3 linked regions of the Oryctolagus cuniculus genome follow. The protein of the gene in region 2 interacts with the protein of the main gene of each other region in a biochemical or structural test. Links are inferred from orthologs where the notes say so. Each region holds a gene or a part of one and is shown on either strand. Other genes may lie near its edges.

Region 1 (3,238 bases), on a different chromosome or scaffold from region 2:
TCTTCCATCTGCTGGTTCACTCCCCAAATAGCCACAGTGGCCAGAGCTAAGCTGATCAGGAGCGTCTTCCCACAGAGGTGCAGGGGCCCAAGCACTTGGGCCATCTTCCGCTGCTTTCCCAGGCCATAGCAGGGAGCTGGACTGGAAGAGGAGCAGCCGGAACACAAAATGGCGCGCCCACGTGGGATGCCGGCGCCACAGGCTGAGGCTCGGCCTACTGCACCACAGCTCCGGCCCTGCCATTTGCCTTTTTTATAACTGACCATCTGGGGTGTTCTGAAAGCTCACAGAGGATGTATTGTGTCTCCTGAAACAAATATAGCAGTGCTCTGCAGTCAGCATTACACCTGAACTTGTGATGACGATCGTCCTTACCTGAGCCGACATTGTATTAACCACACGTACTGAGACCCTCGTCCTGATACTGGAAAGGCTGTTTTCCGAAAAGTCCTGAAGAGGGGATTTAAAATGACTACTTTCCATGATTAGACATAGTTTTTTAAGAGAAATCTGCCATCCCATACACCTCACCTCCAACTTCTTGACCAGCATTTTTGCAGATTTTAAGAATTATTCTATAATAAGTTTCACTTAGAAACAGTGTTTTCTGTATGCAGATGTTTTTTATAATGTACTTTGTGTTTTATTACAGGCATCAAGATTGCGTGAAGAAGCCCACAATATGGGAAGTGTTCATATGTCGGAAATCTGTACTGAATTAAAAAACTTAAGATCTTTAGTTCGAGTCTGTGAAATTCAAGCAACTTTGCGAGAGCAAAGGTAGGTTTTTTGTTGACATTTTTATGTTTCTTAGAGTTCCGTACAGTTTCTCCACCCCCACGCCCTTGACCCGCTTGGGTCCGTTCTGGTAGCCCCGGTCAGTGGTTGTGATCATGGAAAGTGACCCTCTTCCATCCTCAGCGCTCACCACTGACTTGTGTGGTTTGAGGTGTGTCAGTGAAGCTAGGATAGATCCCCGCCCCCCCTTTTTTTTTTAAAGATTTATTTGTTTATTTGAAAGGCAGAGTTACAGAGAGGCAGAGAGAGAGGTCTTCATTCACTGTTCACTCCCCAAATGGCTTAAATGGCCAGAGCTGAGCCAGTTCGAAGCTAGGAGCTTCTTCCAGGTTTCCTGTGAGTGCAGGGGCCCAAGGAATTGCGCCATCTTCTGCAGCTTTCCCAGGCCATAGCAGAGAGCTGGATCAGAAGAAGAGCAACTAGGATTTGAACTGGCCCCCATATGGAATCCCAGCACTATAGGCGGCAGCTTTACCCACCATGCCACAACATTGGCCCTGAAGATGAATTCTTTTTTCTGCATCCTGTGTCTTCTCTTTGCCGGAATTGGCAGCATCACTACTCGTGTGCTTTGCGGCATGTGCAGTGAAGTAAAGGGTTACTTTAGGCGCCACACCAGTCTGCTGGCAGGAGTGGGCACTGTTGGTGTGCTGGGTGGCGGGAGGTGCTTCCCACCCCAAGCAGCAGATGAAGATGAACTTCCTCCAGGCACTTGGAACCGTGACCGTTGTAAACCTTAGGAGCACCTTGTTTCTGAAATTTTCCAGTGAATATTTAAGACCCTGAAGCTTTGGGGAAAGTGAAACCATAGATAAGTGGGGGACTGCTGTATTTTAAATTGAAGTAATCAAATTTTAAGTAGAAAACCTCTTTTATCGTCATTCTGTAACTTCATAATTTAACATTCCTGGTAAATAATCATGAAATTTTATCTCTTAACCCATGTAAGTGCTTTTGTAGTCTTTTTCTCTTACAACTCTGTAGGCCCCAGCACTAGATCATTGAAAAAGGAGAATGTTGTCAGCGGTAGTGTCTCTCTCAAGATGAGCACTCTAGTGCTGAAATTGCAAATTCCTAGTTAGATGATGATTTCCAAGGGACCTGTTGGTGATGGCTGGCACGTCGTGGCATGCCAGATCTGCTCGCTCCGTTCTCCAATTTCTTTAGTTATTCCCCCTAACATGAACTTGTAAGTCCCAATAAATAACACAAGCATTTTTAATGTCTGTTTAAAGATTAAGCACAAACGTTGTATACGCCACCGGGTCATAGGGTTAATCTTGTCATGAAAACAAAATATTTGCCAGATAACAAAGTTGGGATATATTAAACTTGGAAAGTGAGTTTTTAACGTTTTCAATGACTGAACTATCTGGAATTGCTTTTATGACCAGCAGTTGGGATTCTGTTACCTTAGAGTTCTGAGAGGAGTTCTGACAAACGAAGCTTCATTTTGCCTTGCTAAGCAGATCGTTTGACTTTTAGGAAATCATTCTGTTTATTACTGCATCTAAGGAAAAAGGTGTATACAACCAGGTATCAAGCCAGTATCTGATTCACCCATGTAGGTGACAAGTAGGTCACAGGAGAGGAGATATGTTGGAGTCCATGCAAATCCAGGTCACTAAACTGTGGGATTTGTACTTTAATTTTAAAGTCTTCAAACTTTTCATGTTCCTGTTGAGATTGTTCTTGCAAGGATTAGCCTCTTGGAAGCCTGCATTGTGGCTTGGGGGCTTAAGCCACCACCTGTGATGCTAGCGTCCCATCTGAGCCCTGGCTGCTCCAGTTCTGATCCCAGGTACCCACTAATGCACTGGGAAAGCAGCGGAAGATGGCCCAGGTGCTTGGGTCCTTACACATGTGTTGGAGAGTAGGATGGACTTCCGGCTGCTGGCTTCTGCTTGCCCTGGCCATTTGGGAAGTGAACCAGTAGATTGGAGATATCTTTCCCCACCCCTCACCCCCAGCTCCGCCTTTCAAATAAACAGTAGATATTTTTAAAAAATTAGCCTCTTGGCCGGCGCCGTGGCTCAATAGGCTAATCCTCCACCATGCGGCGCCGGCACACCGGGTTCTAGTCCCGGTCGGGGCGCCGGATTCTGTCCCGGTTGCCCCTCTTCCAGGCCAGCTCTCTGCTATGGCCAGGGAGTGCAGTGGAGGATGGCCCAGGTGCTTGGGCCCTGCACCCCATGGGAGACCAGGAAAAGCACCTGGATCCTGGCTCCTGCCATCGGATCAGCGCGGTGCGCCGGCTGCAGCGGCGGCCATTGGAGGGTGATCCAACGGCAAAGGAAGACCTTTCTCTCTCTGTCTCTCTCTCACTGTCCACTCTGCCTGTCAAAAAAAAAAAAAAAAAAAAAAAAAAATTAGCCTCTTGAACCTAGTTAATTCTAGTCTTAAAATATTGTGGGTCAGAACACATGTATGACACAGGTTC
Region 2 (3,652 bases):
GGTCAGCAGCTGCGCGTCCACCTGCGGACGGGGCAGGCCTCAGGGCGCGGAGCTCCAGCCTCCCCCGCTCCCCGGCTCGGGCGAGGGGCGGCCGTACCTGGGACTTGAGGCCCAGCACCTGCTCGCCCAGCTCGTCCTTCTCCTCCCGCAGCAGCTTGTGGATCTGGTTGGCCTTGATGCGCTCGGACATGAGCTTGAAGTTGGCATCGTCTTTCTCCCGCAGCTGCTGCAGCAGCCGCCCGTTCTGCTCCTGCATGTCCTCGAAGGCCTGACCCGTCACATCCATCTCGGACAGCAGTGCCTCCTCCTCCTGCAGTGTGGGCCGGGGACGAGACGGGACACGGCAGATGGACACGGGGGGAACCACAGGAAACCGTGGCCAAGGACTACAGTGTGAAGGAGGCCAGCGAGGGGCCACCTGTGCAGGGGCTGAGGGAGCCCCAGCACTCATTAGCCGGGGGAGCGCCACGGTCGCACCTGCTTGGTGGCGCCCAACTTGCGCTGCAGGTGCTCGATCTGCTCCTCTGCCTGCCGGATGCGGCGCAGGGCGTCCTCGTCCGCCATCTTCTTGCTCTCCCTCCGATCCCGCTCCTCCAGTTCCCGGATGCGGCTCCTGAGCTCATCGACCTGCGGCCATGATGATGAGGGAGCTCTGGGTGCCGCTTCCCGCTGCCGCAGCGCCCAGGGACAGGCCGGCCTCTCCGCGCACCCCCAGGCCCCACCTGCCCTCACCTCAGCCTTGGCCTTGCGTTCGGCGGCCATGAGCTGCACCTTGTCCCGCTGCTCCTTGGGCGCGGACTTGTACATGTCCAGCAGCAGCTTCATCTCCTTCTGGCTCTCCTGGGCCTTCCTGGGGGAGACACGGGAGGGCCCAGTGGGCGGGGCTGGCGGCCACGCGGCAGGGGCGGCGGCAGGAGGCAGGGGGAGGGAAGGCCTCACTTGAGCTCTGCCCGGAGACCCTTGAGTAGCTCCGACTCCTTCCTCTTGGCCTCCTCCACCTTGGCCTTCTCCCGGTCGGCTCTGGAGAGAGCTGAAGCTACAGGTGCGGGCCCCAGGCCGGGCCCTTCCCGTTCCCGAAGCTCCCGCTTGGGCCTGGTCTCGGGTTCTCGGCCCCGGGAGGAAGGGCCCTGTGCCCCGGGAGTTAGGGCCTGGGCATCGTCTTCAGGGGAAATCAGCTCCTCTTTCTTCAAGGAGGTAGCAGTGGTGGCACCGGGCGCCGAAGCCATCTCCTTCCTGCTGTTGGGGGTAGCGACAGGGCCTGGCCCACCCTCTTCTTTCCCTGGGGCCGGGGCACTGAGGCCAGAGTCCTCTGGGTGGCCCAGGCTGGAAATGGAGTGGGCAGAGCCACTGGCCTGAGCCCGGAGCTGCAAGGATAGAGGGGAACAGGGATGAGGCGAGACCGGGCTGGTCAAGGTCTAGCCAAGGCTTCCCGCAGGCAGCCCCGCTCACCTTGCCAATCTCAGCCTGCACTTCGCGAAGCTTCCGCTTGTATCGCTGGGCGTCGCCCTTGAGCTGGTGGTTGTGGTTCTGCAGACTGCTAATCAGGTGGCGCATCTCCCGGTTGATAGGGCCTGGAGGAGGGTCAGGGTCAAGAGTGTCAGGCTGGTCCCGGGTCGGGATCCCAACCCCTCAGTGGGGGAGGAGGTGGAGCCAGAGCCACCAGGGCCACTGTGCAAGGGGTGGGGTGGGTTACACAGCACATGACCTCACCAAAGGAAACCCACCCAGGAGTAACCTGGCACTGCCGACCTGTTACATTTGCTAATGGAGGTTTCTAAATAGCTCCAAACTTCCTTTGATGCAATTGCTAACCACACAATTCACAGAAGGCAGCGGCTGCCCTTTCAGCACGAGGGGCCCTGTGTCAGTTACACTGCCCAGGCCTCTTCCAGGCAACGCACCTCCTCCTGGCATCTCCTGAGAGAACCTTCCTCCCTCCTCGTTGGCGTGTTCTCCCTGGCTAACACCCACCCTCTGGCTGTCTTCCCCTATGACAACAGCGTGCCACAACAGACGTGGGGAACTATTCTGCTCACTAGCACAACCCAAGGCCTAGACAGGGCCTGGCTCGTGGGTGGCATTCAGCGACCGTTATAAAATGAGCATCTGACAGAAGACGCCAGAAGCCAGGGCGGCACAGACAGGACTGACAGCACCTGTCGCGGCTACACGTGCTGTGGCAGCCACTTCTGCTGGCTGTGGCCAGGCGGTGCCGGCCCCGCTCTGCAGAGGAGGCTGGGGCTCTGTGATGGACATCTGGGTAACAGCAGCCCTACCCCAGGAGGCCCCGCTCCGCCCCGTGTGCACCACCGACCTGCCTGCTCGTTGGCCGCCAGGTTCTGCTCAAACTCGATGCGCAGCATCTCGTACTCCTTGCGCACCTGGGCCAGCGTGTCCTCCAGCTGGATGACCTCCGTGCGCAGCTTTTTCTGCAGCCCCAGCTCGTCGCTCTGTGCGGGGTGAAGGCATTAGGACCCATACGACCCCTGGGCAGGCACAGGGAACCCCCGAGTCCTAGTAGCGCAGCCCCCAGGCCTGTTCCAGGGCCCCACCTCCATGTGCTCAATGTGCCTCAGGTGGGAGTTCTTGGTGGCCAGCAGCAGCCCCCGGGCCTCGTCCAGCTGCGTCTTCACTTGCAGAGACTCGTTGTACAGCAGCGAGAACTGGGCCTGCAGCAGCCGGTACTCCCCTGTCTCCCGCACCACCTCCTCTGGGAGGCTCCGCAGGGCCACCTGGGTGCACGGAGGCCCAAAGCAGGGCTCAGTACAGGGACTCTGCAGGCCCAGGCCCCCCTCAGCCCCCGCCCTACCCCAGTTCACCTTGAGGCGCTCATTGGTCCGCACAGCCCCCTGAAGTTCCGCCTGCAGCTTCTCCAGCTCCGCCATGCGGCTGTTGGCCAACTCCTGGTTCTCCTCCAACTCTGCGTTTAGCATCTCAAACTAAGGGGCGAGAGGGGCATGGCGGGCAGGGCTGAGTCAGGCAGCAGGCTCCACTCACATCACACCCACGCCCCACCCGAGCGGCAGGGACAGATTCTGAGGCCCCACACCGGGGACCTGCCTAGGGGTGCCCAAGGCAGGTGCCCAAGGCAAGGCAGAACACTTAACATCTCAGGGGAGCACGGAACACTGTCCGCTAAGGCGCTTAACCGACAGGAAGACAGGGAGGCATTCCCGAAATGCAGGAGCGCTAGCGTGGACTCCCCCTGCTGTCTTTCCTGGGCTTTTTCCTCGTGGGGCTTATTTCTTTACCCAAACAGAACCTTCACTCTTATTCTCTGCAATGTGCCTGGGTCCCCAGTACGCAGTGTTCGGGAACCATCCCCTGACGACTGACAGAGTGGCAGGAGTGGCGGGGCAAGGCCTCGGGGGGAGCGAGGCTTCTCCTCCCTGCTGCAGGGACTTCCGGGAGGCCGGCAGGGCCAGCGCGGCTCACCTTTTGCATGCTGAGCGTGATCTGGCCCCCCTGGAAACCCGACGAGCTCCCAGACACGTAGTAGCCGGAGTTGAGCTGCGACGGGCACAGAGATGACCGGCGTGAATGCAGGACCCAGGGCCCCCGGTGCCCAGCCGCGGCGCTGACGGCCCAGCAGCCCGGCTACCTGCTCCAAGGCCTCCGCCAGGTGCTTATTGAGCTTCTGCTCTCGCTTGCG
Region 3 (3,117 bases), on a different chromosome or scaffold from region 2:
GATTTGTCTCTAAGATGTTTCATCCAAATGGCAAGTATCACCTTTATAGAGTATTTTAAACTATCTCAGTGTTTGTTATGGAAGTATTCCACATTTCTTATTTCTAATACTTGAGTATTTGTTTAGGCATCTTGCTCTTTCCTGAAACTGAACTTGTTTGTGGTGATGTACTGCTGTTTAGATCTGTAGTCCTTGAGTTGAAGCAGTGAAGGTATTTTCCTTTTGCTTAGAGTCTCAGGGCCTCCTGGTTTCGACGATTTTTGCCATTTACTTGTCAGACAAAAATAAGATTTCCTTTTAATGCTAGGCGAGATTGGGTTACTCTTGTGTTCTAATTTTCACTGGCATTTAGAACAGTAGTTTTCAATATCAGATGCCTATCAGAGTTATCGTGGAACATTTGCAAGATATAGATGTCCTGACCCATATCTTTATGCCAAAATGAAACCTTGTGTCCCCTGAGCTATCTTGTGTTACTTCAGGTAGGAAATACAGTTTACAAATTTGGTGGAGTGAATTTGCCAAAAGGTCAATGGATGGCTAGGAACCCTGTTAGAAAATGTGTTTGATTTCCTGTATAATGGGGCAGTCTTTTCAGAAGAATGTGCACTAAGTATTTTCTAGCTTTATCCCTATCACATTTGACATTTTTTGATCACCCTGATTATTTCATGGGTAATGATTATGACCTGTCATTTTAGGCAGTTAACTGGGAAGCAGGCTAGGAATATTTTTTTCAACTTCAAAAGTAAAGTATTCTTGATTCTGTCTTTAATTAATATTAAAACCTTAGTGGTCTCACTTTAACATATCTACATCTATACTCTTAGTCTATGCAGATGGTAGTATATGTCTGGACATACTTCAGAACCGCTGGAGTCCAACCTATGATGTATCTTCCATTTTAACATCCATACAGGTGAGTTTTTTCTCAATATAACTACGACCTTTAATGTATTTATATTAGTAATTGTTTTTGAAAGTCATAACTTTAATAGGCCTTTTAATTCTGGGCAAAGACTTATTTTATAGGTAAAAGGTAGACCATTCAGACCCAGGCCACCAGAAAACACATTATTTGCATAGACACTAACAGATTAATGTAATGTACAGACAGTAAATTTAGCTGTGACTTAGGACAATTGTTACTATCTTATATAGTGTATTTCTTGCACTGAGGAACTGACATTTTCAATTTGTTCTTTACAGTCTCTATTGGATGAACCAAATCCCAATAGTCCAGCAAACAGCCAGGCTGCTCAGCTGTACCAGGAGAACAAGCGGGAATATGAAAAGCGTGTTTCTGCCATAGTAGAACAGAGCTGGCGTGATTGTTGACCCCAGAGGGAGCAAAAGAAAGTAACCATAAGAAAAAAATATATTGATGTATTTGTCACCTTCTTATTCCTCATTGTCATTAATTTACTTTATTAAAAGCAAAAAGCTGTTGTGCTGTTTCCATCTTCCCTTGCCGAACTGTTCCTAGCCCTTCTCCCCTCTCCTTGAACACCAGGCAACACCCTCTGTGACATCAAATGTACTGTACCTGGGTTACTTGCAACAATTACTAATGCTTAATTCCTTTTCTGTTGTATCTCATTTCCAGTCTTTGGCAATTATTTGTTACTGTACTTTACAGTAAGGTTTTTAAATGAATTGTTAACAAGTGGTTTCTTATGCATAGCTTTATGATGAAGATACTACTCTAAACAAAGTGATGGCTGAGGTGTTTCATCCTGGCTGGTCCTTCACTTGTATTGGGTTTAAAAGTGTTTAGACTGTGGCCTAGAGAGCAAGGAAACAAGCCATCCAAACATTAGTTTTGAAAGGGGAATGGAGGCCAAAAATTCCGATACAATCTTATGAATTATAAGATGATGTTTCCTGGTAGGAAGAATGTTGAAGGATGCAGCCAAATTAGTACAGCCATTGTAGTACCTGACACATCCTCTCCTTGCAAGACAGTGGTTAGCTACATCCATGCTAAGTTTCAGAACACCGGTTTTCTAGGGTTTTGCTTTTAAAGAGGTGTGGGAGCAGAGGAATGGAAACTCATCAATTTTGGAGCTAGGGAAAAGTTGGAGATCCTTTAGTCTTTCTAAAGGAGTGCAGTTGCCCTAGATAAACTTACAGTCCTCCATCTTTTTGTTGTTTAGTTTGACTTAATTCAAAGGGAGCATATCTGTGGCAAAGTATTTTCCACTCAAATTCTGAGTTACCGCTGCATGCTTTAGTTTCTTCCTCCTTTTCAACGTTATGACAACCTTAAAGCCAATGTCAGCAATCTTTCTTTCAATATTTACACTTTTAGATATAGTACCTTTAAGTAGCAGTGTGGGACAAGGCTTGTAAATGTTTTGTCTGATATTCCATTGTTATCTTTTATGCATTTATTGCTTTTCTAAATCTAACTTTGCACAAGTAACCCATGTAAAAAATGTACATTTTTCAAAACTTGTAAATAAAAATAACCTTAAAATTTTGCAGTCAAGGTATAATTACATTTTAGCTCAGTATGAATTTTAGTACTAACTCTTACTGGGATTTCTTTAAAAAAAAAAAAGATTTATTTTTATTTATTTGAAATAGTTATACAGAGAGGTAGAGACAGAGAGAGAGGTCTTTCATCCGATGGTTCACTCCCCAGATGGCCACAGCTGCCAGAGCTGAGCTGATCCAAAGTCAGGAGCCAGGAGCTTCTTCTGGGTGTCCCTCATGGGTGCAGGATCCCAAGGACTTGGGCCATCTACTGCTTTCCCAGGCCACAGCAGGGAGCTGGATCTGAAGAGGAACAGCTGAGACACGAACTGGCGGCCTTATGGGATGCCGGTGCTTCAGGCCAGGGCTTGAATCCACTGTGCCACAGCGCTGGCCCTTGGGGATTTCATACCTACTCATTTCCCCCCACCTCTTAAAGCAACAATACTGATTGTGGGAGTGGAAAAACAAAAAGGGTAGATATTGTTGGAGAGAATAATTTTTTCTTTTCAGTCTTAAGTGTTAATGCTTTTAAAAAATCTTTTAACAATATAAAATTAGGGATCGGTGCTATAGCATAGCAGGTGGAGCTGCCGTATGCAATGCTGGCATCCATGTGGGTGCCAGTTTGAGTCCTGG

What was found.
Region 1: the proteins of RNF40 (region 2) and WW domain-containing adapter protein with coiled-coil form a complex in vitro, tested with the Homo sapiens proteins (2 studies listed by BioGRID). The link is inferred for Oryctolagus cuniculus from reciprocal best matches to the Homo sapiens genes RNF40 and WAC.
Region 3: the proteins of RNF40 (region 2) and UBE2A form a complex in vitro, tested with the Homo sapiens proteins (3 studies listed by BioGRID). The link is inferred for Oryctolagus cuniculus from reciprocal best matches to the Homo sapiens genes RNF40 and UBE2A.

Annotation. Positions count from the first base shown.
Region 1 is NC_091444.1:99,032,311-99,035,548, reverse strand, and holds part of WW domain-containing adapter protein with coiled-coil, read left to right. Parts: intron 1-652; coding exon 653-780; intron 781-3,238.
Region 2 is NC_091450.1:6,348,424-6,352,075, forward strand, and holds part of RNF40 (E3 ubiquitin-protein ligase BRE1B), read right to left. Parts: coding exon 3,602-3,652; intron 3,511-3,601; coding exon 3,436-3,510; intron 2,940-3,435; coding exon 2,820-2,939; intron 2,733-2,819; coding exon 2,553-2,732; intron 2,451-2,552; coding exon 2,315-2,450; intron 1,572-2,314; coding exon 1,450-1,571; intron 1,365-1,449; coding exon 940-1,364; intron 851-939; coding exon 733-850; intron 628-732; coding exon 478-627; intron 311-477; coding exon 98-310; intron 22-97; coding exon 1-21.
Region 3 is NC_091453.1:73,512,708-73,515,824, reverse strand, and holds the end of UBE2A (ubiquitin-conjugating enzyme E2 A), read left to right. Parts: coding exon 1-30; intron 31-830; coding exon 831-919; intron 920-1,209; coding exon 1,210-1,338; 3' UTR 1,339-2,482; downstream 2,483-3,117. UniProt on the Homo sapiens protein: E2 ubiquitin-conjugating enzyme that accepts ubiquitin from the ubiquitin-activating enzyme E1 and transfers it to a E3 ubiquitin-protein ligase. In vitro catalyzes 'Lys-11', as well as 'Lys-48'-linked polyubiquitination.